Oryctolagus cuniculus: one gene and its partners. The protein of the gene in region 1 purifies or fractionates together with the protein of each later gene. This does not show direct contact. Links are inferred from orthologs where the notes say so. Each region holds a gene or a part of one and is shown on either strand. Other genes may lie near its edges. The genes, in order: LARP7, KPNA2, TUT1, SRSF4, DHX9, RPL26 and KPNB1.

Region 1 (4,796 bases):
TCCTGAAGAGTATTATCATCACAATTTACAGGTTAGAAATCCAGTAATTATGATTTTAGTACTACTTATGAGCTATTTAGAAATTAAAGATAAATTCGCCTATTTTCTTACATTAGAGGTATTTCTGGGATTTATAATGTAAAAGGAACTGAGAAGGGTCAAACTCTCTATGATGGCAAAAAGAGCCTTTGGGATTACGCCTAAAAAAAACTAGGGCCGGTGTTGTGGCACAGCAGGTAAAGCTGCCACCTGCAATGCTGGCATCCCATAAGCACTGGTTCGTGTCCAGGCTGCTCTACTTCCTATCCAGCTCCCTGCTAATGGCCTGGGAAAGGCAGTGGAGGATGGCCTGGGTGCTTGGGCCCCTGTCACCAATGCGGCAGACACAGAGGAAGCACCTGGCTCCTGACTTTGGTATTGCCTGGGTTGGAATCCTGGTTCCTCTTCCAATCCAGCTTCCTACAGGTGTACATCCTAGCAGGGAGTTCAAGTAATTGGGTCTTTTGCAACCCATGCAGGAGACAAAGATGGAGTTCCTGGCTTCCAGCTTTGGTTTGGTCCAGTCCTGGCCAACATCAGAGGGTGGAAGATCGGTTTGTGTGTTTGTCTTATCTTCTAAATAAAAAGATATTAATTTTTTTTCTTAGTGCTAATCTGTCTACATTTGTCAGACAATTCAAGTGGTGACCCACTTCCTAATCCGTGAAAGATAAATCAGCAAATAACTTTTTAAAATGATGTGGAGATTCCAAATGTTCAGTGATAATTATATATGCACATACACACAGATATATTATGGTGCTGTTATATTACATATGCAAAACTGGGTGTTCTCAGTTTTTAAAAATGAGCCATTTTCCAGGGCTGTGGTACAGAAAGTTAAAGCCCTGGTCTGCAGGACTGGCATCCCATATGAGTGACGGCTAGAGTTCCCGCTGCTCCACTTCCGATCCAGCTCTCTGCTATGGTCTGGGAAAGCAGTAGAAAATGCCCAACTCCTTGAGGCCCTGCACTCTATGGGAGACCCAGAGGAAGCTCCTGGCTCCCAGCTTAGGATCAGCTCAGCTCTGGCTACTGTGGCCATTTGGGGAGTGAACCAAGCGGATGAAAGACTATCTCTGGCTCTAGATCTTTTTGTAGCTCTTTCACATACATACAATAAATCGTTTTTTTTTAATGAGCCATTTTTCCTGTAAATTACAAGATGTTTCTGGTTCCCATGTTTTTGAACAAGCAGTATGTTTCAAACCTAAACTCCTTAACGGTTCAAACTTAAAAGTTTCAGAATACGAGCTCAACATCCTATTAGGAAACCAACCAGAACAAACAACCAAAGGAAATCCACACGTCATTTGCCAAGATCCTAATAAATCTGAGCCGTTGTTTTGAAGGACAATAGAGATAGACTTTAGGGTCATGAAAACAAACAGCAATACCCCTCTGGTCCTCACGGGCAGGCGGAATTGCAAAACAAAAGACTTGAAGAGGAGACACCAATTACCACGGGCGGTCCGGGCAAGCTGCGCCTGCTACCGCCCCCATCTCGGCCCCAAACAGCATTCTTCCCGGTCCGCTTCTGCGGAACGGACTCTTTCGGCCCCTAATCCTAAATCGCTCAAGTCCCCTTCACTGTCCACCCTTCATTTCCCAGATACCCCGAAAGCCACTTCACCTCGTCCCACTGCACAAAATCCACTTTTCGAATTTCTCCCGCGAAAATTTAGTGACGTCATCAAACCGGGACCACACCGGATGAAGACCCAAACTGAGGCCGCTCACCCCGCCTCACCTAGAACCGCCATTTTTAACCCGCCAATCAAAATCTTCATTGGCTTCCAGCCGCCTCGGCAGGTCGCGCTCTCCGATGTCCCGCCCTCCTGGAGCCAGCCCTCGCGTGTGACGTAGGCGGCGGACGTACGGCCTCCGGGCCCGTCTTTCTGAAGAGGATGAGAGTGTGGTGTCGCTTATCCTATGACGCGCAATAACCACGACTTTAAGCATCAGGAGACGGAAGGGGCTGAAGGACGCCGTCGCTGACGCTGTATTTTTAGAATTGAATCGAGTAAGTTGCAAGTGGCCCCGAAGTCGCGTTCATTGAGTAGTGTTAATCCTCAGTCTCTTTTCTAGCAGCTCATTCTATCATGTGTCGGCTATCTCGTCCCGCCCCCTCCCACGCTACCTTGGGTTCGCTAGGCCTAGTTCTCTGTGCGCACGCGCAGAAGTCCTCTGCTAGCTCTTGCAGTTCCAGTGTGCGGAGAGTGGGGGCGCATAGCGCCCGGCGTTGCGAGGTTTGGGGCACGCCCAGCGCTTGCCGGCGTCTGTAAGGAAGTACGGGTGCCGAGAAGATCAGTAGGTGCTAGGGAAAGTGCTTTATTTTGCCAATTGGAGTTGAAGTTTGTCTGCCAAAGGATAGCGAATGTGAGAACTTGTGTTCTAAGTCATTTTCTTTTACACGACTCTAGTTTTCTCCTCGAAGAGTTGAAAATCTAGTTGTGAGAAGGACCTAGCAATGAGTGCTAAGTACTGCATACCAAAAGCATTCCTAGAGGTACTTGGGGAAAACAAATCGAGCAATTGAGGAGGAGGTAGCGGTGGAAGTTAAGATGCCACCTACCCTGAGCCTTGAAAACCGAATAGGGGTTTATTAGACACAGGAGTTCTTTTGAAAAAGTGATAAAAGTTACGCATCAGCTTCCCAAGAGAATGTGCATATACTTATCAAAATATTTTCTGTTTAATTTTACTAGGAAATGTGTGAAAGACTTCGAAATGGCAAAAAAAATAATTACTTGGGGTCTTGTTTAACTCCTCCGAGATATCAATGCCTTTTATTGTCATTGAGCTCTTTTACAGTTGTGTAACTTGTAGAAAATGATAAATGGAAATCAGGTTTGTCTAGTGGAGATGTAGTTATTACCTCGCAGTTTAATGAAGTTCGGAAAAATGTTTATTTACTTGAAAGGCAATGGGACAGAGAGTGAGAGAAAGAGATGTTTTCCATCCTCTGGTTCACTCCCCAAATGCCAAGGCTGGACTGGACCAGGCCAAACACAGGAACCGGGAACTCCATCCCGGTCTCCCCCATGGGTAGCAGGAAGCTGGAGGTGGGACTCCGTCCCAGGCCTCCAGGATTAGGAATGTCTAAGTCCCACTTGGTGACTTAACTCACTGCCCCACAATGTAACTGCCAAGTTCACAAGAAGCCTTGCGTGAGGGGCAGGACTTTGTCCAAGCTGATCAGATGCTGCTTGAACAGCATCTTAACTCCTGTCAGATCTCTTGGGTTTGAGTCCCAGCTCTTCCCCTTCCTATCTAGCTTCCCGATTAGCACATCCTGGCACCCTGGAAGGCAGCAGATGGTAATTCAAATAATTGGGTCTCTGTCACCACATGGGAGGCCCCAATTGAATTCCTAGCTCCTGACTTCAGCCTTGCCTAGCCCCAACTGTTGCAAGCATTTGGAGAGTGGACCAGCAGATGGAAGAGATCTCGCTCTCTCTGGCCTTTGAAAGAGAAAGAAGTAAAGGAAATTGTAATCACCTAGATCTAAAAAGAAAGAATTCCTGGGTCAGAACATAGCATGCTAGTAACAAATTACAAGTGGCTCTACTGAAAGTAGGAATTAAGAGTCAAACAGACTTGGGCTCACTTACCCAGCTGGTTTTAGCCAAGTCACTTAACCTTTGAGTTTCTGTGAAAATAAACTACCTAGTGGGTTTCTGAGGCTTTAGAACAATGTAGAGTAACTGGCATTGTTACACAGTAACTTATTCTTTGTTTAAAGCCTATATTTAGAAGCCAGATTGGTTGGTTTTCTTTTTTTTCTTTTAATGCATGTCATTGAAAAGTGCCAAAGAATTTCTGATGTTGGGGTTTGACATCAATCTCAGAAAAACGAATCCATTCCAGACAAGTTACACATAGGCTTCTGTGTATGGCTGCTAGGATACTTTATCAAATGTTATCTTGTTACTAGTGACAGTAGTGGAAAATAATGAATGGATAGATGGAAGGAGGAAGGAAGGAACAAAGGAAATGAGAAGTCAAATTGATAGGATTTAGAGTGCTAAATCATGATAATGATTACATGTTATTGAGTATGTTCTGTAAAGCAGCAATTTGAAGTGCTTCATTTCCATTATTGTGATTAATCCTCACAACAGCCATATTATGTGGTTATAATTTTTATCCATGTTTTATAGGCCATAGATGAGGTAACTTGCTCAAAATCTGTGCAGCTAGCACATAGCATCATTTGTTAGCTTGATAGAATAGGTATCCTTAAGTAAGAGCATGGTGGTAAAGCAGGCCTGGGGAGGAGAGTTGGAGACTTGGAATGTGTGGAATCACAATATATAACTCTGATTTTCTGCAGTCATTGTTTGGGAAAAGTAAATTTAACCATTTCTTATATCACTTTCTGTTTAGTCTTTGTCTTTTAATTGAAGATATATTTCATCAGTCTGAGCTTAAATACTGTAAGACACAAAAATAATCCTTTTAATAAGAAAGAAGGAGTCTTTGGGCTGAGCTGTGAAAATGGAGGGGAAAGTTTTCTGGGAGAATTGTGACTTATGTGCATGTGCAGCTCTGTCCACTGCTTCTTAAGTGGTGGCTCAGACAAGGAAACTAGTTGGAAAACAGGTTGTCTGCTCCTTACGATTCATTGTTGACACTGGAGCCTGCTACAGTGATAATCATAGACTACACTTGTACCTTTTTAAAAAAAAAAAAAAAGATTTATTTCATTTATTTGAAAGGCAGAGTTTACAGGAAGACAGAGAACTTGCATCCAC
Region 2 (3,260 bases), on another chromosome or scaffold:
TACCTTTCTCAAGCCAAGGACTTCTGGATCCAGCATCCAAGCTGGAGAAGGAAAAGGAGCAGAGTGGGAAAGGCAGGGCAGTGTGCAGAGCCCGCTTCCTCCTCCTCTCTCCACTTCAGGGGTCTTCCTCCCAGGACGCCCAAGATGCCCTAAGTACAGGCACGTCAGGAACTCGGCTATGGGAGTTACTTCATGTGTTGGCCATGCGTAAGCAATTGAACAGTTGCATGGAGGAAACTGGAAAACCCTGTTATCTACAAAAGACAAAAACATATTTGATGACTGGGGAGAAGTGGAAGCCTGTTGAATTATATTACCAGTGACTTAGAAACAATGTCTTACAACAAGGCCGGCGCCGCGGCTCACTAGGCTAATCCTCCCGGTTGCCCCTCTTCCAGGCCAGCTCTCTGCTGTGGCCCGGGAGTGCAGTGGAGGATGTCCCAAGTGCTTGGGTCCTGCACCCGCATGGGAGACCAGGAGAAGCACCTGGCTCCTGGCTTCAGATCAGCGCGATGCGCCGGCCGCAGCGGCCATTGCAGGGTGAACCAATGGCAAAAGGAAGACCTTTCTCTGTCTACTCCGCCTGTCAAAAAAAAAAAAAAGTCTTACAACAAATGAACCAGAACTCCTGGGTAACCGTGCCCAGGTGATGCCAATGTAGCACCAGGTCTCACTTGGGAGGAACGATTCCCACTTGTAGCTCCAGGAGGAGCGTGACTAAATTTAAGATTTTTATCCCATCTCCCTGGTCAGTGAAACCTAAAAACACTGGCTGAGGACTTCTGGAAACTTCACTCCTCTTTCTGTGAAACTTCTGATTCCAGCTTTAGCAAACAGATATCAGGTGTTTAAGTACCAAAAGGACAAGCAGCAGCTTAGCACCAAACCAAGAGACTCGGAATCCGGAAGAAAAGTTATCCACACCCCACCTCCTACAGTCAGGACTGGCCCCACTGACTGGTTGCCACGGACCCTTCATCTGCAACATTAGAGCTCCGAATTAGAAAACAACACACACACCAGGTGAAGAAAGGGGTGGAATTTTATCTTTATTTACAGGACACTGTAAGATACGAAATTCCACAGAAGTAAGAAACCCATTCAGAGGACAAGCTTCATACAGTATGTACAGTTTGGAACTGTTCAAGTATAGTTTTGTTGTAAAAGTGCTACAATAACAAACCACATTTAAAAAAAGGTCTTAGTAGAGAAACAGTAAGACAAACAACAAAATGACTGGTGCCTCAGCAGTGCGATCAGAAGTGAAAGGCGCCCGGCGCCCCATCCTGCACTTGGAAGGTGTAGCCTTCAGAGGTGGTCTCTGGCGCAACATTCTGATCTTCCTCTTCCTGAAACATGAAAAAGCAACGTGACCCCATAAATATGGCACATTTCTAAGCAGTAGCATGCCTCAAGTCTCGACCTGCTCATAAAGTTTACAGCTGCACACCCACCTTCAACCCTGAGACCATATTCTTTCTGTCTGACACAGGAGGAGGGAAGGGCCGCTGAAACCCGGACAAGTCAGGAATGCCTGGGAGAAGCAGTTCTGAGTGGGTTAAAGAATGCTACTACAAGCAAAATTGAGATTTTTCTGTTCCACCTGCCACTTGTCAGTAGAAAGAGAGCCAACTACGATCAGAGTTCACCCACTTCTCCAAGAATCCCTACAATGACAACCATAAACTTTAAAGATATTCCGATTCCCAAGATTGTTCATTTGAAAGTAAACTAGTGACTTTTAAAATTTCAGGTTAAATATCATCAACCCAAATATTATATGGGCAAGTCCTAAATATATTTTTTTGACATTTTGCAATACTGAACAAGGGTACAGGGGGTGGGTGTTTGGCCTAGCAGTTAAGATACTAGGAGTTCAGCCGGCGCCGTGGCTCAATAGGCTAATCCTCAGCCTGTGGCACCGGCACCCCGGGTTCTAGTCCCAGTTGGGGCGCCGGATTCTGTCCCGGTTGCTCCTCTTCCAGTCTAGCTCTCTGCTGTGGCCCGGGAGGGCAGTGGAGGATGGCCCAAGTGCTTGGGCCCTGCACCCGCATGGGAGACCAGGAGGAAGCACCTGGCTCCTGGCTTCAGATAGGGGCAGTGCACTGGCCATAGCGGCCATGTGGGGGGTGAACCAACGGAAGGAAGACCTAACTCTGCCTGTCAAAAAAAAAAAAAAAAAAAAAAAAGCTACTAGGAGTTCAAATCCTGGCCCTAACTCCTGATTTTAGCTTCCTGTTAGTATGCACCCTGGGGGAAGGCAGTAATGGCTTGGTATCTCGAGTCTCTGTCACCCACATGGAGACTTTGTTTAAGCTCCTGGCTTCTAGCTTCAGCCTGGCCTAGACTCAGGCATTATGGGCATTTAGGGAATGAACCAGCTTATAGTTCTCTCTCAAAAACATTAAAATTGGGGTCAGTGTTGTGGTGTAGCAGGTAAAGTCGCCTCCTGCAGTGCCAGCAGCCCATATGGGCACTGGTTCGAGTCCCGGCTGCTCCACTTCGATCCAGCTCTCTGCTATGGCCTGGGAAAGCAGTGGAAGATGGCCCAAGTCCTTCGGCCCCTGCACCCACATGGGAGACCTGGAGGAAGCTTCTGGCTCTTGGCTTAGGAGCAGCTCAGCTCTGGCCGTTGTGGCCATCTGCAGAGTGAACCAGCAGATACAAGACCTCTCTCTCTCTCTCTCTCTCTGCCTCTCCTCTCTCTATGTAACTCTTTCAAATAAATAAATCTTTATAAAAAAATTTTTTTAAATGTATGGAACTCACTTAAAGTACAAAGAGAAAAAAAGAACATCTCATAGTTTGCCCATACATGTGTATTTTCCAAGTTGTTATTAACAGTAGCTCACCTCTATAGAGAAGTACTTCTCAATCAAGTTTAATGAAGCCCTATACACGGATTCATTCTCATGGTTTTGAAGAGCTTCAATTTTATCCAAGCCTCCACATTCTTCAATCATTATACTAAGTTTCTCAGTTTCACCTAATTTCTCAGCAGCCTAAAAGAAAAGAAAGGTCCAGTTTACTGGTTTATTCTCTGATGGTTCTATTTTAATGAAAATACACATATCAAAGCTTTCATATATCAGACAGGAATGCACATTAACAGTTTCTTTAACAATCCTAATGATAGTCTTATGTCCACTTTATATTTTTTTTGAAACTCAATGTAGCAGGTACATGAGAGAAGGTGGGAGAACCAGTCACTCATAATTTACAGATGGCGATAGACACCAGCCTTCCTTATTCTGAATCCA
Region 3 (4,192 bases), on another chromosome or scaffold:
GGGATGTGGGAGTCCCAAGCACAGGCCTAACTCTATATGCCAGGTGGACCTTTTCATTACTGTACCTTTAGTTATCTGAAAAAAACTCACTGTTGTGTTGTTGGTCACATTGTGATTCTGAGGCTGCACTGTGGGTATGTAGGTGTGGCTTGGGTGATCCCAAATATCCTTAAGCAGCCTAGGCCCTTCTTTTAGGTTCGGGGTGGGTGGGCTGGTTTTTGTTAGGACTGTATTGAGTAACTCTACTACAAATGGCTTAAAAATAATCTAGCTTTTCTCATGTAACCAATAATCCAGACCTTGGCAGTCCTGGGTTGTGCAGTTTTCCTGCTGCTCTGTCATTATTATTGGCACACGGTTCTTACCTCATAGTTGTGCAACTGCTGCTTACCCATCTTTAGGCCGAAGGAGGCAGGTTGAAGAGTATGATGTAGAAGGCCAGTGCCAGCTGAGTGTAACTCCCACTTTTTTTTTTTTTTTAATTTCTGAGGAAAAACTTTCTCCAGAGGGCTTTTCCCCGTGTTATAGGCAAGCTTGGGAAATTAAGCATTTTTAGCGGGCAGTTTGCCTCTCAGCAAAATCAGGGTTTTGTTAGTAAGGAGGAAACGAGAACGTGTATTTGATGGGTACTTGGCAGTGTCTGCCCCAGGTTACTTCTTTGGGAAGTTCAGTGACCTTGTGTTTGTTGATAACTTATTTAATTTGCAATTAATGATCTTGTCCTGAAGTTAAACCTCAAGTTTCTGAGGGTTCTAATTATTATAACAATGATGATTAAAATTTTTCCATAATTACTATGCACCAATTATGTACTAAGTATTTTACACACACTATCTCATTTAATTTCCACCATTCTTGAAAAAAAAAATCATCAGTGAGAAGTTGGGCATTTGGAAGTTTAAGGTCTTACTTAGGGGGGCCAGCGCTGTGGCGCAGTGGGTTAAAGCCCTGTCCTGAAGCGCTGGCATCCCATGTGGGTGCCGATTCTAGTCCCGGCTGCTCTTCTTCCCATCCAGCTCTCTGCTATGGCCTGGAATAGCAGATGGCCCAAGTCGTTGGGCCCCTGCACCTGCGTGGGAGACCCAAAGAAGCTCCTGGCTCCTGGCTTTGGATCAGCTCAGTTCCAGCCATTGCGGCCATCTGTGGTGTGAACCAGCAGATGGAAGACCTTTCTCTCTGTCTCTACCTCTCTCTGTAACTCTGTCTTTCAAATAAATAAAATAAATCTTTTTAAAACAAAAAAGATCCTACTTAGGAAGCAGTGACAAGTACTTAGTGTCTTGGAGTTAATTTCCTAACTTGTAAAATGAAAATAACAATATATATATATTTTTAAGATTTATTTATTTATTTGAAAGTCAGAGCTACACAGAGAGAGGAGAGGCAGAGAGAGAGAGAGGTCCTCCACCTGATGGTTCACTCCCCAGTTGGCCGCAATGGCCGGACCCGTGCTGATCCGAAGCCAGGAGCCAGGAGCTTCTTCCAGGTCTCCCATGGGGGTGCAGGGGCCCAAGGACTTTGGCCACAGCAGAGAGCCAGATCGGAAGTCGAGCAGCCAGGTCTCGAACCGGCACCCACATGGAATGCCGGTGCCCTAGGCCAGGGCATTAACCTGCTATGCCACAGCACCGACACCAACAATATATACCTTATAGGAGGCTTAGGAGCCTTTGAGATAGTTTATGTGAACTTCTGGCTTTATAATGAGCATTCAACGAATGGTAGCTCTAGCTGAGGCAGGTGGTGTTGAGAGGAGAAGAATGTTGAGGGCAGTTGCTTCTGGGTCTGCTAATTCTGGCTTCCCTGATGCTGTCAGGTTCTTGAGAGAAAGGTGCACAAGGACAAGGATAGGCAAAGGGACAGCTAATTTCTTTCTTATTTTTTTTTAAAAAGATTTATTTATTTATTTGAAAAAGAGATCTTCCATCTGCTGGTTGATTCCCCCGAATGGCCGCAACAGCCAGGTCTATGTCAAGCCAAAGGCAGGAGCCAGGAACTCCATCTAGGTTTCCCACAAGTAGTCGGGCCATCTTCTGCAGCCTTTCTTGACAGGTTAGCAGGAAGCTGGATCAGAATTAGAGCAGCCATGGCTTGAAACAAGCACTCCAGTATGGGAAGCCTTTTGCAAGTTGGGGCCATAACCCACTGGGCCACCACATCAGCCCTGACACCTAGTTTCTAGCTGGAGCTTTGGTTGCAAACTTGATGCTGAAGTGCAGGCTGGTGATTCTGCTAAGACTTGCCTAGGCAGGTCCAAAGAGTGGTTTGTCCTTGGCTTCACTTTCGTTCTTTGCTCTGACATAAGGGTAGATGTAAGTGTAGGGTTGGTAGCTTTCCTTTCTTAAAAATTTGAGAATCTTACACAGCATAAAATATACAATTCAGTGAGCAGGCATTGTGATGCAGAGGGTTAATCTGCTGATTGGGACACCTGTATCCCATGTCAGAGTACTGGTTCACATTCTGCCTGCTCTGCTTCCAGTCCACTGCTTCTCCCTGCTAATGCTTCTGGGAAAGCAGTGGAAGGTGGCCTGACTGCTTGGGCCTCTGCCACCCATGTGGGTGACCTGGATGGAGCTCCAGACTCCTGGCTTCGGCCCGGCCCAAGCCTTGGCTGTTGCAGCCATTTTGGGGTAAAGCAGTAGATGGAAGATCTCCCTCTGCCTTTCAAAAAATAATAAAAAATAAACTTTTTTTTTTAGAAAACAAAAGTTAGGGAGTAGATATTAGTATCTCCTGTGAAATGATAAAACTGGGAAGAGTAGGGGATGATAAAATAGGCAAAATGGGATTTTCAGAGGCAGATTAGGGTGACAGAAATGTGTTGGTTAAGAGTGAGGGAGAGAATTGTTTTTCTTTTTTTAAAATTTATTTATTTGAAAGGCAGAGTTACAGAGAGGTAGAAAGAGAGAGGAGAGGAGAGAGAGAGAGGGGTCTTCTAGCCGCTGTTTCACTCCCCAAAAACCCTAATGGCTGGAGCTGGGCCAATCCAAAGCCAGCTTCTTTTGGGTCTCCCATGCAGGGGCCCAAGGACTTGGACCATCTTCTACTGTTTTCCCAGGCCATAGCAGAGAGCTGGATTGGAAGTGGAGCAGCCGGGACTTGAGCTAGTGCCCAGAGGGGATGGTAGCACTGTAGCAGCGGCTTTACCCATTGTACCACAGCTCGGCCCTGAGAGAATTGCTTTTCTAAATATGTTCCCTATTAATGAAAGCATCATCAAGATAGTATTCCCATGTATGAGGTATTCCACTGCTGCACCACAGGTTTGAATTTTTGGTCCAAACCGTCATGCTTTCTCTGCTAGGGAGTGTTTGCCATCGTGGAGATGGGGGACGTGAGTGCTCGGGAGGCTGTATTGTCACAGTCCCAGCACAGCCTGGGAGGACACCGCCTGCGCGTCCGGCCACGGGAGCAGAAGGAGTTCCAGAGCCCAGCCTCCAAATCCCCCAAGGGAGCAGCCCCTGACAGTCAGCACCTGGCCAAGGCACTGGCTGAAGCCCCAGATGTGGGGGCACAGATGGTAAAGCTCGTGGGGCTGAGGGAGCTGTCTGAGGCCGAGCGACAGCTTCGGAGCCTGGTGGTGGCCCTGATGCAGGAGGTTTTCACGGAGTTCTTCCCGGGTAAGTCACCTCCGCGACTGTGTCCGAAGCCTCCTGTCCTTCCCTCCTCAGTGTCTGCATCCCGGTGTCACAGCTGGAGGTGTTTACCTGACTGCTCTTCCTCCTGGGCACTCCTTTATGGTCTTCCACCCCTGCTCCTCCCTAATGTTTCTTGACCTTTATTCTCTGCTCGGCACCCAGGCTGTGTGGTCCATCCTTTTGGCTCTTCCATAAACAGCTTTGATGTCCATGGCTGTGATCTTGACCTGTTCTTGGATCTGGGTGACATGGAAGAACCTCAGGTGAGTGACGAGGGGGCAGCTGGGAAGAGGCAGTGAGAATGGTCATGTGACAGTGGGCCTTAGTTTCTCATCTGCAAAATGGGTATAATAGGACCTCTCTGAAAAGGTTATTGCAATTGGAGGAATGTGAATATGGTTAGGCATTAGTTAGGATGAAAATGAATTGACACAGAATAGATGACAGTTATAAGAAGAAATCTGCCTCTGAAAATCTCATTTTCTCTATTTTATTGTCTCCGTCATTTCATAGGTTGTACTATGATGTACCACGTTTCTTTCTTTTTTTTT
Region 4 (4,192 bases), on another chromosome or scaffold:
TTAAACTAAGGTACTCCAAGATTTCAATTTTAGAAATGTTAATCATGCTTCTTTACGCAAGGTTCATTACCTGAACCCATACTGTTGTTAAACAGGCATTTTCTTATCCTAACAACCCTCACCAATGGTGGGTCCCAAACACCCTCAGGCTTGCAAGTTCTCCAGAAAAGAATGTGGAATTGACTCCCCCTTTCAGAACAGTGCAGGCTCTTCTGTCTTCCACACACCTGCCCTGAGCAGGGAGACTGGAGAACCCTGTCAACAGCGAGGAGCAAGCAGCAGGACTTGCTCTGGAGACAGGCCGGTCAGTGGCTTAACGGGCAGGTGACCAGGGTGCGCCACCAGAATCTGCTGGGGAGTGGACATGAGGAGCAGGGAAAGCAAGCCTCCATGCGTGTGACTGCGTCACCCACCAACGCTGCTTACCGAGGGGCATGCCTTCCATATTCTCTCTAAAAGAAAAATGTGCCCCTTTCCACGGTGGATCTCTGCTCACCTTTGTCCTAAAACTGTGCCACATGCTTTTTCTTTGTATGTGGACATGACAGTCCTCAGCCAACCATCAGCAGGATGTGTTTTGTTTTCCCAATGTGGTGAGCCATTCCCACATTCACTCATTTTCCTGGTAAGAACCGAACCTCTCCATGGCTGGTCAGGCTTAGGGATGTTGCTGTAGCCAAGGAAAAATGTTCATCTGTTGAAGTTAACCCACGGGTGGCTTGAACCCTCAATCTAGAGTCAGTAGCACTGTATTTTAAGGGCAGGGCCCTTAAGTCTGCCCTGAAAGAAATGGCATTCAGTGAACAGGAATCAAACAGCTTTCTGTCAAAGCACTCAGTGTTGGTCCTACACTTCAACCAACTTGGTCTTAGGAGGTGAAAAAAGTTAGGACACATGGACAGGATGGCAATAAAAACAGTAATTTTCACTGTCTGCTTAAGGCAAGTGCTTGGAGAACATAGAAAGACACGTCTGCAACCAACTCCCATGCGCACGTGAGGCACGTGAACGTAACGGTGTAGCTGCTCCCGATTCCAAAGGCAGGCAGCTTTCGGGGACCGGCAGCGTGGGGCCCTCACAGCATTAACAGATGCCGCCTCGACCGCTCAGGGCCAGTGATTACGGTTGCAGTTGACTTTCCCAGTGCCGGAGGGTTCTTTATAACCCACTACTGGAGCTGCAAACACAGGAGTAGGCTCCTGAGACCCTTGCCTATCCTGAGATGGGAAGGAGGCTGCTCTGGGCATTCTGGCCTCCCTTTCTTTAGCCTCAAAGGAGGGAGGGCCATCAAGGCCACCCGGAGAAGGTGGATGACTTACCCGTGCTCACTGAGTGGCAGAGCTGGGGTGCGACTTCAGGGCTCACCATTACCCAGTCTGGGGCTCTTTTCACGTCGGCAAACTGGCAGTTCCGCACACCAAGAGCTTTCTGATTAGAGCTAGTGTGGATTCCTGGTCTGCACACGTTGGCCACAGCTCAGTCTGCACTTGATCTTTCCCCACCTTCAAAGAAGAAAACCTACCTCATGATTTCTCTCTTCTGGATCCCCTAACCATCTAATTCACTCCCAACAACCTTGAAATCGCTTTTGACAAGTTCTCTTGGGTTTCGAACTGGGTCTACTGACAAGTTCCAGTTTTCTCATTTTGCTGGGCACTCAGGGCTGTCTCTACCTGTCTGACCAACAGATGTAATTCTAGGATGCAGCTATTTTTACTTAATCAATGTGTCCCTTTATATCAGCGAAACTCAGCTAAATCATTCTTTTGCTTAGACATCTAGAATGACCCCTGAAGAACTTTTTAAATTCATTCTCTAAACCTGGAACACCTGACTACACAAGTTAAATCACGTCAATCTTTTCCCATGTCTGAGAGTTTACCTCTTTTCATGAGTCCCTAGAAAACTGCCTGAGTTCAAACATTTTAGCATTTCAATTTTATGCTTTACGTGCATGCTTTTGTGGCTCTTCAAGCCTTGTTCTTTCCGTTGTGCCTGCCTTCTCATTTGATTATGAGCTCTTCAATAACAACAGAGCTAGTGCATGTTGGGTATTTAGCACATGGTAAATAATTTATCCATAATATTACATTGATTCCTCATATCAAATATGAATATATTATTATTATTATTTCCATTTTATAATGAGAAAACTGAGGCTTAGAGAGGCTAAACAAGTAGCTTTTTGTCCCCAAGCTAAGGAGTGGTGGAGCTGCATTTGAACTCAGATCCATGACTGGAAAACGTAAGGCTCACTCACTGCCTTTTACAGGCTGATGCTTCTCTCCATGGTCCCGAGTACAGTCTTTTCTCATTTGACAAATGTAGTTGCCTTAGTGGTGCTCTAGCCTCAGATAAGCCATGCTGTAGTACAGTTTTTTGACACAGCGGGGTGAAGTCTCCAGGGAAAAAGGAATTGACCTTGGGGCAGGGTGAAGCACCTCTAAGGTGGGGGTATGTGACAACCAGGTTACTTTCACTCTTGTCTTTTGGTTCCCATTAGCCAGTGTCAGCCATCTGGTCCTTCCGAAAACATGTGTGGGTTCAGAACATAACAGACTAGAAGAATAGAGGAAAAATAAGATTATTCTGTGCAATCCCCATCCTGGAGGTCCCATATCAACCCCTAGAGTCTGTCTTTGGCTCTAAGGCTCAGCAAAAATTAGACCACCATAGAGAAGATAGAGTTGGACCTGGACATGGTAGATGTAGATGGATACTGACAACATCACGCACATAAGAATGCATTTGATTGGTTTCATAAGGAATGGTGATTTGGGACCAAAAAATATAAGCATGAATGGTGGAGAATGATGGGCCAGAAATCAAAGAATACTAGAAGCTTTTCAGATTTGCAACTACACAAGGATTACAGCAGCAACCAGAAAAGTACTTTGCATATGAGAAGCATCTAAATCTTAGTTTTTATTAATTCCAAACAACTATTAACACGGTTACTCCAGCCTGCTAGACTCTTACACTTCAAATCCTTTTAATAATAATCACTCCTGCTTTCGAAAGTCTTACTATGTATTAAGCATTATACTAAATGCTTTGCACATATCATAGTCAATTTTCACAGCTCTGAGACTTACTCTTATCTCACAGATGAAGGAACTAACACTTAAAGCAGTTGAGTAACTTGCCAAGATTACCTAAACACCTAAGAGATTTCAAACCCAGGGGCTAACCTAAAGCCTACATCCAACCACTAGGATCTGCTGTCTCCTAACACCAATGGAAGGAAGGAAGCTCTGAGACCGAGGTTGCAGAAACACAAGCTCTAGGAGCACAGAAAATCAGTTTCATCAGATAAATGTTGATGTGGCTATATTATAATCTTAAGGGAAATACTCAATGACAAGGAAGTATCATTTCTGCACCCTATTTTGCTAATGCAATTAAGTTGTGAATATTTAGTCTGAACTAAGAAACTAGTGGAAATGAATCATTAGGAAACTTGTTATTTCAGCCAATGAATTAGTGGAAAACTCATCATTTCTCCTTCTCTTCAATTAATTCACTGGAAAACCTCTAATGATGAAGCAACAATCAAACTCAGGCCCACGGCATTGATTCTACACTACAAATACTCACTGGGTGAGGGACATGGAGTAAAATCATTACACTAAAAACTAACTAGTAAAACAACATTCTTGGTAGCAGAGGAGGCAGAAAGGAAGCCACCAGAGAGCACCGTCTTCTTTGTAACTGTTCTATGAGCCTACCTGCCGATTTGTTTCAACTAGCCCAAACCTGTTTGCTAAACTGTTTCACTTTTACCAGGAGCCATATTACTATTCCATAAAGTGAGACTACCCAAAAAGCAAAATACATCTGTACTTGTAAACAGCTTATGAATCACACTATCATAATCATAACTCCCCATCATAATTAACTATATTTTTAAAGCGAACATGTTTGCTCTTTTTAAATATAACCATACCTACATCCATTTTAATATTCTTACGCTTATAAACATTACTGTAAATAACAGGTATCATAAAAAAAGGGGGTCAACTATTCTCTGATGACACAATAAAGTTCATAAAGACTCAATCACATGGGCTGGCACTGTGGCACAGTAGGCCAAGCCTCAGTCTGTGGCACCTGAATTTCACATGGGCATTGGTTTGTGTCCCAACTGCCCCTCTTCCAATCCAGCTCTCTGCTGATAGCCTGGGAAAGCAGT
Region 5 (4,192 bases), on another chromosome or scaffold:
TTGATTTTTATATATATTTGTATGTAGTTCAAAATATACAATGTCAAAATATACAATGTTGTATCCTTATGTCAGAAGCTTTCTGCTTACGTCATTAAAATTTCTTCCTGGGCAATTTTTTAAAAAGATTTATTTATTTGAAAGAGAGGAATCTTCCAACCACAGGTTCACTCCGGACAGTTGAAATGGTGATGGCTGCAGTGGCCATTGCTTGGCCAGGCCAAAGGCAGGAATTTTTTTTTTTTTTTAAGATTTTATTTATTTATTTGAGAGGTAGAGTTAACAGACTGAGAGGGAGAGATAGAGAAAGGTCTTCCTTCCACTGATTTACTCCCCAAATGACCGCAACGGCTGGAGCTGCACTAATTCGAAGCCAGGATCCAGGAGTTTCCTCCAGGTCTCCCAGGTGGATGCAGGGCCCCAAGGACTTGGGCCATCTTTTCCTCCTTTCCCAGGCCATAGCAGGGAGCTGGATCAGAAGAGGAGCAGCCAGGACTGGAACTGGTGTCCATATGGGATGCCAGCCCTGCAGGCGGAGAATTAACGCACTGTGCTGCAGTGCCTGCCCCTAAAGGCAGGAGCTTCATGCAGGTCTCCCACATAGCTGCAGGGGCCCAAACATTTGGACCATCTCTGCTTTTCCTAAGCCATTAGCAGGGATCTGGAAATGGAGCAACTGTGACACAAACTGGTGCCCATACGGAATGCTGGCGTCACAGGCGGCGGCTTTACTGCTATGCCACAACACCATTGTAAATCAGGATATTTTCTTGGGTGTGTTAATATTCTCAAGTCTTTTATCTTGACAGTTGATAGTCATTTGAAATTTGTATTATTTTCATGTTTTCTCACTGAACTTCAGGGAGAAAATGTGTTCTGGTTTTCAGTGGAAAACTGTTAAAGGATTCCAGAAATAATGAAATTAAAATTGACTAAGTTAGCTGTATTAACTAAATCATTTGCCATCAGGTAATTTATCTTTTGCAGTCTGAAACTGATGAGATTTTTAATAGGTTCAGAATCTGCTCAAATATAGAAGTTCAGCCAAACAGCTTCAGTAAAAGAATCTTGAAAAGTACAGAGACGACACCTATCCTTCATATCATAAAAGGAAATCTCTCCTGATTTATAGTCTAGGAAAATGCTGACCCTCCTGTGTGCTGCTACCAGCAGAAGCTGGGTTCTCCTGGGACCCAGGGCAACACATCCATTTGTGGCGCGTTGCCCAGTTGCCCAGACGCTGTCCTGGACTGAGGCCTGATTCTGCTGGTTCCTTCTTCCTAGACAATTTTAATTGCATGATAGATTATACTGTACTTAATTTGGATTCTCAGCAGTTTACAATTTTTGCAAATACTATGCTGTTTAACCAACTTTAGTGGGGTTTTTAGTTGTTTTTCGTTTTTTTAGGTTTGAAGAACACACCTGAATCATGGGGGACGTTAAAGATTTTCTGTATGCCTGGTGTGGCAAAAGGAAGATGACCCCATCCTATGAAATTAGAGCCGTTGGGAACAAAAACAGGCAGAAATTCATGTGTGAGGTACTGAAGAGTATTGTCTACTTATGAAGCTCAATTTGGGATTAAGAGCATTTTGTGTTAAGAAATGTGTATTGCACGTTGAAGAAGAGCAGTTCTTGTTTTTGTTTTTAAAGATTTATTTATGTATTTGAAAGGTATGAGAGGCGGCAAGAGAAGTCTTCCATCTAATGGTTCACTCCCCAGATGGCCGCAGTGGCCATAGCCATAGCTGGGCCACATCGAAGAAAGGAGCCAGGAGCTTCACCCAGGTCTCCCACATGGGTGCAGGAGCCCAAGCACTTGGGCCACTTTCCGCTGCTTCCCCAGTCTCATTGGCAGGGAGCTTTAGTGGAGCCAGAGCCTGTTTGGGATGCAGGTGCGGCAGGTGGTGGCTTTACCCACTACACCATGGCACCAGCCCCCAGAGTAGTTCTTTATTGTTATTTGATGGCTATTCTGTTCATCAACAATCTGGTGGTAAATTATTCTAATTGGAACCTGGAGTTTTCTCAGTACCAGTAGGATGAGTGCAGAAGCTGGATCAGTTTGCAGTTCTACTTCTTTAGAAAGTGGAACCCTTGATTGCTAAGTAAACACAGATGGAGAGCTGCTGTTGGATGTTATAAAGTTGGGTTTTATTCTGGAACCTTTTATTATGTGCAAAGAGATCAGCTGTATAAGTTGATTTGGATTACTTATCATTGGACAATACAGTTCAGCCTTTTTCATAAATTTATTCCATGGAATCTCTTAGCTGTGCTAGTTCTGCTATAGTCATAGAATATGTTTCGAGAAGTCAGCTATTTGTTATTTCTTAATAACTGAATTGTGTATTTTTAAATCCTGGAGTACCCCGGCAGATCTCTTGATACACCTTTTTTTGGCTTCAAGGTCCGAGTGGAAGGATACAATTACACTGGCATGGGCAATTCCACCAATAAGAAGGACGCGCAGAGCAATGCCGCCAGAGACTTTGTTAACTATCTGGTGCGAATAAATGAAGTCAAGAGTGAAGAAGTCCCGGCTATTGGGGTAAGGACTTGTGGCCAGGCATTTTATTTGTGTGTTTTTTTGGGGGCGTGAAAAATAGTTTCCCTCTACCCTTCTAAGTTCTTGGGCTGTGTTATGAGTTAAATTAACATGACAGATTAACAGAGGAAAAGGATTACAAATTTATTACAAGCAAAGGGTCATTGCATGAAAAAAAAGGAATGTTTAAACCCGACAGGTTTAGAAGCTTACACGTGAGTTCCTTGATGCTTGGTGTACATGCAATGCAGACTGCACGTGAGTTAGAAATGCTCACTTTTCTGTAGACTGTAGGTTTCTCGGGATGTGATACCACCATAAGCTGAGGAGGATCTGTATTCTCTTCTGAGGCTTCAGAAGAACAGGTGATAGGATGGCTGGGTGGGTGTCAGCCTCTAATTGCCTGTCTTAGGGATACTGTTAATCTTCCCAGGTTGATAGGTTTCATTCATTCATTCATGCAGCAATTTTTTCATTGTCTAGTAATACTCTAAACTTTCAAACACAACATTTTTAATGAAAAAAATTAGTAACATTTTAATTTTTTTAAAAAGAGAGTGCTTCAATCTACCTTCTTACTCCCCAGATGCACACAATGCCCAGGCCAAAGCTGAGAGCAGGTACTCTATCCAGATTTCCCATGTAAGTGGCAGGGTCTGAATTAGCAGGAAGCTGGAGTCAAAACAGAGCTGGATACGGAACTCTCATACAGCACATCAGTGGCTCTTATCTGGTAGGCCAAATACCACTCCAGTGTAACACTAAGTAGAATGTAAAATTTAGCAACTTTTTTTCAAAGATTTATTTATTTGAAAGAGTGACAGATGTCTTTTATTGTCTAGTTCACTCCCCAGATGCCCACGGCTGCCTAGGCCAGGCCAGGCAGAACTCCCATCTGGGTCTCCCGTGTGGGTGGCAGGCACCTAAAGTACCTGAGCCAGCGTCCTCTAGCTCCTGGGTGCATTAGCAGGAAGGTGAATTGGAAGGATAGATTAGCCAGACTGCAATATGGAATCAAACCTCCCAAAGGGGCTTAACCAAACCCCTTGTGCCACAGCACCACCACCAAATCAGCAAGATTACATACATGTGCTTCCATTAACAATTCTCATAGAGCAGAAAGTAAGCTGTATTTTGTGCAATGGAGTATCATATTTTTTTTTTTTTAGTTTATTTATTTATCTGAAAGAGTTGAAGAGAGAGAGATCTTCCATCCACTGGTTCACTTTCCAAAAGTCTGCAATGGCCAGTATTGGGCCCAGCTGAAGCCAGGAGCCAGCAACTTCATCCAGGTCTCCTGTGTAGGTGCAGGGGCCCAAGGACTTGGGCCATCTTCCACTGTTTTACTGAATGCCTTGGCAGGAAGCTGGATCAGGAGTGGAGTAGCTGGGACTTGAGCTGGCACCCATGGAATCCCATATGGAATGTTGCAGGTGGTAGCTCAACTCCCTATGCCACAGTGCAGGCCCCTCATCTTTTATGCCATAATTAATCGTGTAGCTATGCAGCACATACCCCTCTTGTATTTTTTGGTATTTTGCTTTTAAGATTGTTTATTTGAAACGCAGAGTTACAAAGAAAGGTCTTCCATCTGCTGGTTCACTCTCCAAATGGCTGCAACGACTGGAGGTGGGCTGATCC
Region 6 (4,705 bases), on another chromosome or scaffold:
GCTTTGCTCTACTACCTTTTGATTTTTATTTAAAATTACACTTACAGCACCAATGTTAAGATCTCAAAAAACAAATAACCCCCTCAAAAGCTTCCAGTATTTCAACACTCATCACTATGCATTAGCTGTTAGCTTTAGGGAGAATTCACATAAAAACCCATGGAAGGCCCGCGCTGCGGCTCACTAGGCTAATCCTCCGCCTTGTGGTGCCGGCACACCGGGTTCTAGTCCCGGTCGCCCCTCTTCCAGGCCAGCTCTCTGCTGTCACCAGGGAGTGCAGTGGAGGATGGCCCAAGTGCTTGGGCCCTGCACCCCATGGGAGACCAGGATAAGTACCTGGCCCCTGCTATCAGATCAGCGTGGTGCGCCGGCCGCAGCACGCCGGCCATTGAAGGGTGAACCAATGGCAAAGGAAGACCTTTCTCTCTGTCTCTCTCTCTCACTGTCCACTCTGTCAAAAAACAAAACCATGGAAAGCATCTGCTGGATGGGAATTAGACCAATTTTCCATGTTGGCTTAGATGCAATAACCACCCCTGGTCGACTTCAGAGCCGCAGGGTCTCTCCCTGTATATAAATGGTCCCCTACCTACTTCACAGGGCTGTAATGCACCCTTAATGTTTCACTCTGATACACAAAAACGAACAGCGCTAAGGCTCCAATTCACCTAATAATGATCTTATTTTTAAATTTTAGGATCTATAAATTGCTAAGGCTGTTCATCTGCCAGGTTTCCCATAGTTTTTGGAAAAAGATACATTAAATATACAAACAGAGCAACTGTTAAAGACACTTTGGTTTCAGAAACATTTTAAGTAGTATTTGAATTTTCAAAACAAATACAGAATTTGCTTTACAAGATTCCCAGCACATCTAAAATCAGGGACTGTTTCCCTGCGACTGTCTGTAAACAAGCAGTCACACCTGCTAATAACTGTGCTCACTTCCTTCTGTTTCAAGCGTTCTCAGAACACCCACCTTGCTGGGGTGAATGCCCACATGGACAGTTGTGCCATTGGCCTTTTCTCGCTGCACCCGCTCAATGTAGATGACGTATTTCTTCCTGTAAACCTGGACTACTTTGCCAATTTGCTGACCCTTGTAGTGTCCTCGCACAACCTGAAATTCAAAAATAGCAGGAATAAGCAGATAAAAACAAGATCATCATTACAAGGGAAATAGTGAATTAAATCTCTAAGAGCTTTCAATTTTGAACGACTTAATGACATTAAGATTCTAGCTCCCTGGTTTTAGCTAAACCATGCCCCCAGGTGTCTACAGAGAGGGACAGTGCATCCCTACAGCTGACAGCTACCAGCAGGGGGAGGCTTATTTAAAGGATGAAAAGAAGCCACCACTTTGGGTTTCTGTAGGAAGTTAACAAGGACCTTGTTATTTTGTCTCAAAAGCAGAACTGGCCTCAAGTCTAATTCACAACCTAGTTAAGTGCCCACTTCAATGCCAGGCAAGAGTGGACTCCAACAAACACACAAGTGAACAAACCAATTCTTTCGCAAAGGTGAGCAGTTTGCTATCCAGGAGTCCTAGCCATCACTCGGCTTGTTAGAACCAACCCAAAGTGCTTCTGAACACGTTTCCTTCCAGTTCCTGACCTCCTTATATTGCTACATCCTGAAAACAAAACACTCAATTGCTTCCAAGGTCTACTGGAGATGTGAGTAGCTGTGACAAATCTTTAATGGAACTATGGTGTTCCATTAAAGAGATTCTGAGTCTAGATTCTTAGCAACTTTTCGGGCCCTCAAATGCCTTTACAATGATCCAACATACTGAGAAAAGGCTAATTCCCAAGGAACCTTCTGCTGGTGCGTTTGGATAATTTGCCTCTTTTATTATGACTGGAGCTGATGCTTGAGAAAACGGATTTTCACCCAATAAAAAGGGAACTGAAAAGCAACGTGTTTTTGGCTCGACTCATCCTGAAATCCGCCCGGACAGCAGGAATACATACTTGCACTTCATCATCCTTTCGGATAGGCATGGATCGCACGTTGTACTTCTGTCTCAGCTCTTTGGAAAGGGGAGAAGACATAATCTTCCGGCGAATGTGGGAAGGGGCATTGAAATGCCTTTTCCGGTTCTTGCTCCGATCAGAAGTCACAAAGGGATTGAACTTCATTTTGGCTGTGTGAAGAATTAAGAACCTCCAATGACTAAAACCTCACACGCTTCCCAAACAGCAGCAACAACTTCCCCCTAAAAACTCAGACCACAGACATCAGTTACACCAGAGAGCTGAACGGCCGGTCGACTAAAGGCTCAATAGAAACAACGCTCCACTGGGGTATTTTCTATATGTCCCTGGGGGAGAGAGAGCGCCCCATTAACACAGCTGCTTTAATCACTAAACTTTCTGTCTACATCCCCCCAAACTCTTTATATTAGATGACCGACAACTCCATTTTTCAACTGTAACATCAGGTTTTGGAAGGACCAAAGTTCACCTTCGAGAGACTTGAGTGTGAACACCTGGCGCCCCCCAAATCACCCTGCCCCCACCTGGAAATCCTGCACAGATCGCAGGTCCCAAAGACCCTCCTAGAGGCGAGCGCGGCCTGCGGTTGTGCGTGGACTTCACTGCCAACAGTTATCTAGGAAACTTCAATTCCTAGACTTCCTCCGCTCCTGCTCCGCTTTCCGAGTCCCCAAATCCCCTGTCCCCCTCCCCTTCGCCTTCTGTGGTCCCTGAGCTAAGCATCAAACAGAAGCCACCCCAAACCCCCTCCCTGGCTGCTGTGCGGCTGGTGGGAGAGTCTCGGGGCCCCCGAATCCGAGAGCCAACGCGCCCACGAACGGATGAGCGTGGATTGCAATCGCCTCCCAGGGAAACCCTCACCAGCTGCCGCTCCGGCGATGGCCACCAAAGGGAAAAGGTTTACACGATACTTCCGGTTCTGTAAGTTTCCGAGCGATCTCGCGAGATTGATGTCTCGGCGAGAGAGGGGCGCGGAGTCGAAAGAAAACTGGGAGAAGTGGATGTCTAGTGTCACCTAGCGGCTCGGAGGGAAACTGCAAGGGACTGTGAAACCCTCCTCCAGGTCTCCCTTCCAAGGCCGGGTTGCTGTTGACTTCCGGGGCGAGTGACGAAGGAGCGGGCGGCCCCAGGGGACCCCGTCCCTGCACTCCTGGTTGCACGGCGGCTGGCGCCCTCTTAGCCTGGCAAGGACAGGCCTTACCTCTGGCCACCAGGTGACGCTGGGACCCCGGCCGACCGGTCACCTGGGCTCCCTGGTCCCCGCCCAGGCCAATGACGTGGGTGTGTAAACGTGCAGGTCCTTTAGTTAGCTCCAGCCGGGCGCCCCGCCGCCCCCACGCCCAAGGCTGGAGCCCCTGATCGCCCCCAGCCCACTTCGTAGAAGCGGGTCTGAAGCAGCGTTGCTGTCCCACTCCTGGGTGATGCCGAGAGTGGCGGCGCTGACTTGGGAGGAGCCGGACGGCCCCTGTCCGGACGTTCTGCCCCTCGTGGTTCAGCTCCGGATCTGTGGGAGGCGGGGAAGGGGTGCGCCCCCGCGCACAGGGACGCTGCGGTGGGCTGCAGTAGGGCGAGCCGGCGGCGTCGCGGCTAGGGCGTGGTTTCTCTGGAATGAATGGTGTCCTAATGACAGAAGACACACGTTTCGTAATAGGGCACCGAGACGCAATGAGCTAGCCGAGTGCTAGGGACACCCTTCTGTGTGTTTTACATCATCCACTCCTAGGATTCCCAAAATAGCCCTATTGATGCTGCTATTATTGTCCTCATGTTACACCTGGAGCTGCTGAGTCACCGAGAGGTGTGACACTTGTGCAAGGTCGCAGGGCGCCTGTGCAGGGTGGCTCCCCAGCCCCTTCCGGCAACTCCCTCTATGGCCCCACATCGTAGGAGCCCACTGGGTTAAGTCAAAGAAACAGTATCCTTGAGGGCCCAGAGTCCTGTCTGTGGAGAATAGGAATTTTGATGATTTACAAACATTTGGTGGGGCTGTTACTGTGGCGTAGTGGGTTAAGCCACTGTCTCCAGCGCTGGCATCCCATATGGGTGCTGGTTCATGTCCCGGCAGCTCCACTTCCGATCCAGCTCCCTGCTAACATGCTTGGGAAAGCAGTGGAAGATGGCCCAAGTGCTTGGACTCCTGCACCGATGTGGGAGACCCCGAAGAAGCTCTTGGTTCCTGGCTCCTGGCTTCAGCCTAGCCCAGCCCCAGCTGTTGCAGCCATTTGGGGAGTGAACCAGCAGATGGAAGAAGCTCCTGGCTTCGGATCAGCCCCTCACCAGCCATTGCAGCACCTGGGGAGTGAACCAACTGATGGAAGATCTCTCTCTGTGTCTCACTCCCTCTGTAACACTACCTTTCAGGTAAATAAGTAAATCTTTTTTTAAAAAAGTTATTTTTGAAAAAAGATTTATTTTATTTATCTGGAAGGTAGAGTTACAGAGAGAGAGGGAGACACAGAACAATCTTCCATCCACTGGTTCACCCCATAGGTGAACAGCTGGGGCTGGGCCAGGCTGAAGCCAGGACCCAGGAACTTCCTCCAGATCTCCCACGTGGGTGCAGGGGCCCAAGCACTTGTGCCATCTTCCGCTGCTTTCCCAAGCACATTAGCAGGGAGCTGGGTCAGAAGTGGAGCATCCAGGACTTGAATCAGCACCCATATTGGATGAGACCTCAGCATTGCAGGTGGCAGCTTAACCCAGCTACA
Region 7 (4,192 bases), on another chromosome or scaffold:
GCCAGGAACTCCGTCTGGGTCTTTCACATGGAATGGCAGGGGCCCAAGCACTTGGGCCATCTTGCACTGCCCTCCCCAGGCGCATCAGCAGGGAGCTGGATCTGAAGCAGAGCAGCCAGCGCTCGAGCTGGTACGCCTGTGTGGGATATGGCATCACAAGTGGCGGCTTAGCCTTCCGCAGCACAGGATCAGCCCAGCACAGCATCTTAGATGTGGTCCTCTGAAAGGCTTGCTGCTGCTAAGGTTAGAACCCTTGCTGTGTGCTGGCTTAGAGAACCAAGATTTTATGCTCAGGTGTTGGTGCTTGGCGCCCATATTCTGCAGCTTTATGTCATTTGGTACATATGGCCAGGAAAACCCAGCAGACTGCCATCTCCATGTGCACAGAAGAGGAAGAAGCCCAGAGTTGAGATGCCAGTAAGTCAGAGATGAGGTTGACTAACTTGTTTCAGTTCCATTGTGGACTACCAGTGCCATTGAATATTTTGCAGGTGATTTGCAGTGCTGTCCCCACATGGAAATGAGTGGAAAATGATCACAAAGTCAGGAGACTCAAGTGGATTTTGTAGTTAAAAGGACTGCTGATTAGCTGTGATCTCTTTATTATAGTCATTGCACTTCTCTGCTTGTTCCAGGACCCAGAGCAGCTGCAGGATAAATCCAATGAGATTCTGACTGCCATAATCCAGGGGATGAGGAAAGAAGAGCCTAGTAATAATGTGAAGCTCGCTGCTACCAATGCACTCCTGAACTCACTGGAGTTCACCAAAGCAAACTTTGACAAAGAGGTAAGTTTCTTTTGACAAAAGGTTTAGATTTGGAGGGTGTTTCTCCATGAAGTTGATAACTTCGAAAGCACCACCTTGTTCAGGAGCCTTCGTTTTCGCTCTTGATGAGATTTGGATTGTATGGGATGCAGCCATGGAATAGGTGTTTGCCATTTTTCGTCAGGCTCTTATAAATAATGTTATTCAAGTGTTTCTTAGCTTAGTTCAAGTGTGAGAATAATTTGGGATTAAAAAGAAGACTACAGCAATTGCACTGTTTCATATATCCTTCCGGAGGATGCTTTTGAGAACGCTATTTTAAAATAGTATACGCTATTTTAAAAGAATTATGTGTTTGAAAGGCATAGTGACAGAGAAAGGGAGAAACAGATGATCTTTGATCTGCTAGTTCACTCCCCAAATGGCCGTAGCAGCTGGGACTGGGCCAGGCTGAAGACAGGAGCCCACGTTCCATCTGGGGCTCCCATTTGGGTAGCAGGGCCCTGAGTATTTTGGCTGCTATGTGCTGTCTTTCAGGCACATCAGCAGGGAGCTGGATTAGAGGTGGAGTAGCCAGGACTCAAACTGGTGCTGCAGTAAGGGATATAAATGTTTTGCCTTGGGCCGGCGCTGTGGTGGATTGGGTAAAGCCACCACCTGCAGTGCCGGCATCCCAAACAGGCACTGGTTCGAGTCCCAGCTGCTCCACTTCCCAATCCAGCTCTCTGCTTGGCCTGGGAAAGCAGAAGAAGATGGCCTAAGTCCTTTGGCCCCTGCACCACATGGGAGACCTAAAGGAAACTCCTGGCTCCTGGCTTCAGATTGGTATAGCTCCAGCCATAGTGGCCGTTTTGGGAGTGAACCAGCAGATGGAAGACCTCTCTCTCTGCCTTTGCCTCTGCCTCTCTGTAACTCTTCCTTTTAAATAAATAAATAAATCTTTAAAAATAAAATAAAATAAATGTTTTGCCTGAAAATACTTCCCCTGTTTATAATGTGGTAAAGTCTGTATAGCAGAATTTGCCCCCCTAACCATTTTGCAGTATCTAATTATCTTCACCTTGCTGTGGAACCAGTCGGCAGAACTTTGTCATCTTGTGGAACTGAAAGTGGATCATTGAGTACCAGCTCCTTTCCCAGCCTCTGGCCACCAGCGTTTCTCTGTGTTTGCTCTCATACTTCATAAAAGCGGGATCACACAGTGTTTGTCTTCTGTAGCTGGTTTATTCCACATACCATGATGCTGGAGGCTCATTCATGTTGTAAGGCTGACTCATGTTCAGGAACTCATCTGGGTCTCACGTGGGATGGCAGGGGCCCAAAGATATACAGATATACCACATTTTGTTTAAAATCATCCATTTGGGTTGCTTCCACATTTTGGCTATTGTGAATAATGTTTTTTATTTTATTTTTTATTTGAGAGGCAAGAGTTAACAGAGAGACAGCTATCTTCCATCCACTGGTTCAGTCCCCAAACGGCTGCAAAGGCCGGAGATGGGCCAATCCAAAGCCAGGAGTTAGGAGCTTCTTCTGAGTCTCCCACACAGTTACAGAGGCCCAAGCACTTGGGGCCATCTTCCACTGCTTTCCCAGGCCATAGGCAGAGCGAGCTGCATTGGACAGCTGGGACATTAACCAGCATCCATATGGAAGTGGAGGCTTAGTCTACTGTGCCACAGTGCCAGCTCCAATAATGAGGTTTTTAACATGGTGGCAGATTTCTTTTGAGACCTACTCTCATTCTTTTGGCGGTGTATCCATGAGTAGACTTCATGGCTCACAGGGTCTGCAGGTAATTTTGGGGGTATGCTTGTTTTTGCTGGTTTTTGGCCTTGTGTTGGAAAGGTATAAGATGACAGAGCAACCTTTATTTCTAATTGATTAAAAAACAGGGCTTTCCTTTTAAATTTCAGATGTAGAAAGGTAACAAATGAGGTTCTTCACTCTGTTCTCCCTTTTCTCCTGACATTGGATGGAGCTTAGCCATCTTGCAGAAAAACACATTTGGGGGTCTCTAAAATAAAGCAGATGTTTTGCATCCTCTTAACATCTTTTTGTGACCTACGTTTTCCTGTCTACTTCCTGAACTCTAGTTAGTGAAACTCAGTTTGTGGATTCAAAGATTTGGGACTTCTTAAGGGCAGGTTCTAGCAGACCCTGGAGGTGAACTTCATGGCCTTCTCCAGGCCACCACTGTTCAAGTAGGAGTTGCTGATGATGCCAGGCTGTGTGGACCCAAGGAGATGAGAAGTTTTATCTGTAGAGCCTAGGAATTTTCCTGTGCATAGTTTTTGCTTCCCTGATTATTTTTATTATTCTTGCAGTCCGAAAGGCACTTTATTATGCAGGTGGTCTGTGAAGCCACACAGTGTCCAGATACGAGGGTAAGTGTGAGATCCTACAAAAAATCTGTTTTAAGTCTTCCCTATGAAATGCCAACTCTCACATACAGTTTGAGATACTAGGAGTCAGACTAAAGAAATAAGGTTTGCTTAATACTAACTAGATTACTAACAATTTTTCTCCAACATATTGGAGAAGAAGGAATAAAAGTAGTCGTATACTACCTCAAAAGTTATTTGGAGGTTGCTGTCCTCTTAAAGGTTTACTTTCTTGCCCTAGGTTGTCCGAGTGATTGTTCAAATATAGCCATTGAAACAGGTTTAGCTGTTGCCCTAATCTAAGTGCGACTCCTAAGCAGGTGAAAGTGACACATTCAGTTCGAGTAAGCACCAGTGAGTTTAGCTCTGTGTGTGTTGCACAGGTGCTTTTAAAGCAAAGGGAAGGACTAGAAAACTGGAGGGAGGGATCATGAAAAATGGAGGGCAGATAGCTTTGGGGAGCAGTGACAGACAGCACTGTCATGTGTGCTTCCATGAACCTTCAGATCACTGACTCAGTTGAGTGAATCTACATTTGTGTCATTATTATTTTAGTAAACCATTTAATCTCTTTAAAGGTACGCGTGGCTGCTTTACAGAATCTGGTTAAGATAATGTCACTGTATTACCAGTACATGGAGACATACATGGGTCCTGCTCTTTTTGCAGTAAGTATTTTGATTTTATGTGATTTGCATTTATAGCTGATTGCAGAGCCCATCATTCTCATTGCCGTTTGGTTCATTCTGTAATCTTCTACTTACTGTTAGGAAATCGGGGGAATCTGAGAGTTAAGTTTATGCCCAACAGCGGTGTGCCCAGGAAATGTGGGCTATCTTCATGTTGGTAAACAGTGTACTTAAAAAACCTGTTTACCTTTCATTTCAGACCTAACTTTCATAAGTTATAGTTGAAACTGGAATGTAGTTGAAGAGGGGATTCTAACTTGAATCAGTACTTACTTGGGGCTTGGGTTTTCTTTTTTTTTTTTTTTTTTTTTTTTGCTTAAGATCACAATTGAAGCAATGAAAAGTGACATTG

Evidence for each region.
Region 2: the proteins of LARP7 (region 1) and KPNA2 purify together in Homo sapiens (affinity purification with mass spectrometry; 3 studies listed by BioGRID and IntAct, with this or other methods). This does not show direct contact. The link is inferred for Oryctolagus cuniculus from reciprocal best matches to the Homo sapiens genes LARP7 and KPNA2.
Region 3: the proteins of LARP7 (region 1) and TUT1 purify together in Homo sapiens (affinity purification with mass spectrometry; 4 studies listed by BioGRID and IntAct, with this or other methods). This does not show direct contact. The link is inferred for Oryctolagus cuniculus from reciprocal best matches to the Homo sapiens genes LARP7 and TUT1.
Region 4: the proteins of LARP7 (region 1) and SRSF4 purify together in Homo sapiens (affinity purification with mass spectrometry; 3 studies listed by BioGRID and IntAct, with this or other methods). This does not show direct contact. The link is inferred for Oryctolagus cuniculus from reciprocal best matches to the Homo sapiens genes LARP7 and SRSF4.
Region 5: the proteins of LARP7 (region 1) and DHX9 purify together in Homo sapiens (affinity purification with mass spectrometry; 3 studies listed by BioGRID and IntAct, with this or other methods). This does not show direct contact. The link is inferred for Oryctolagus cuniculus from reciprocal best matches to the Homo sapiens genes LARP7 and DHX9.
Region 6: the proteins of LARP7 (region 1) and RPL26 purify together in Homo sapiens (affinity purification with mass spectrometry; 3 studies listed by BioGRID). This does not show direct contact. The link is inferred for Oryctolagus cuniculus from reciprocal best matches to the Homo sapiens genes LARP7 and RPL26.
Region 7: the proteins of LARP7 (region 1) and KPNB1 purify together in Homo sapiens (affinity purification with mass spectrometry; 3 studies listed by BioGRID and IntAct, with this or other methods). This does not show direct contact. The link is inferred for Oryctolagus cuniculus from reciprocal best matches to the Homo sapiens genes LARP7 and KPNB1.

What each region holds. Positions count from the first base shown.
Region 1 is NC_091439.1:52,312,729-52,317,524, reverse strand, and holds the start of LARP7 (la-related protein 7), read left to right. Parts: upstream 1-1,776; 5' UTR 1,777-2,062; intron 2,063-2,220; exon of another isoform or gene 2,221-2,548; intron 2,549-4,796. UniProt on the Homo sapiens protein: RNA-binding protein that specifically binds distinct small nuclear RNA (snRNAs) and regulates their processing and function.
Region 2 is NC_091448.1:13,984,767-13,988,026, reverse strand, and holds the end of KPNA2 (importin subunit alpha-1), read right to left. Parts: intron 3,003-3,260; coding exon 2,853-3,002; intron 1,350-2,852; coding exon 1,257-1,349; 3' UTR 1,025-1,256; downstream 1-1,024.
Region 3 is NC_091432.1:8,967,512-8,971,703, forward strand, and holds part of TUT1 (speckle targeted PIP5K1A-regulated poly(A) polymerase), read left to right. Parts: intron 1-3,307; coding exon 3,308-3,623; intron 3,624-3,803; coding exon 3,804-3,904; intron 3,905-4,192. UniProt on the Homo sapiens protein: Poly(A) polymerase that creates the 3'-poly(A) tail of specific pre-mRNAs. Localizes to nuclear speckles together with PIP5K1A and mediates polyadenylation of a select set of mRNAs, such as HMOX1.
Region 4 is NC_091438.1:142,561,511-142,565,702, reverse strand, and holds part of SRSF4 (serine/arginine-rich splicing factor 4), read right to left. Parts: intron 2,560-4,192; exon of another isoform or gene 1,320-2,559; intron 781-1,319; exon of another isoform or gene 671-780; coding exon 497-670; intron 1-496. UniProt on the Homo sapiens protein: Plays a role in alternative splice site selection during pre-mRNA splicing. Represses the splicing of MAPT/Tau exon 10.
Region 5 is NC_091444.1:1,034,063-1,038,254, forward strand, and holds part of DHX9 (ATP-dependent RNA helicase A), read left to right. Parts: intron 1-1,410; 5' UTR 1,411-1,432; coding exon 1,433-1,543; intron 1,544-2,413; coding exon 2,414-2,554; intron 2,555-4,192. UniProt on the Homo sapiens protein: Multifunctional ATP-dependent nucleic acid helicase that unwinds DNA and RNA in a 3' to 5' direction and that plays important roles in many processes, such as DNA replication, transcriptional activation, post-transcriptional RNA regulation, mRNA translation and RNA-mediated gene silencing.
Region 6 is NC_091448.1:52,826,381-52,831,085, forward strand, and holds the start of RPL26 (large ribosomal subunit protein uL24), read right to left. Parts: upstream 2,992-4,705; 5' UTR 2,859-2,991; exon of another isoform or gene 2,522-2,858; intron 2,147-2,521; 5' UTR 2,142-2,146; coding exon 1,974-2,141; intron 1,121-1,973; coding exon 980-1,120; intron 1-979.
Region 7 is NC_091448.1:23,995,690-23,999,881, forward strand, and holds part of KPNB1 (importin subunit beta-1), read left to right. Parts: intron 1-635; coding exon 636-788; intron 789-3,094; coding exon 3,095-3,154; intron 3,155-3,729; coding exon 3,730-3,819; intron 3,820-4,161; coding exon 4,162-4,192.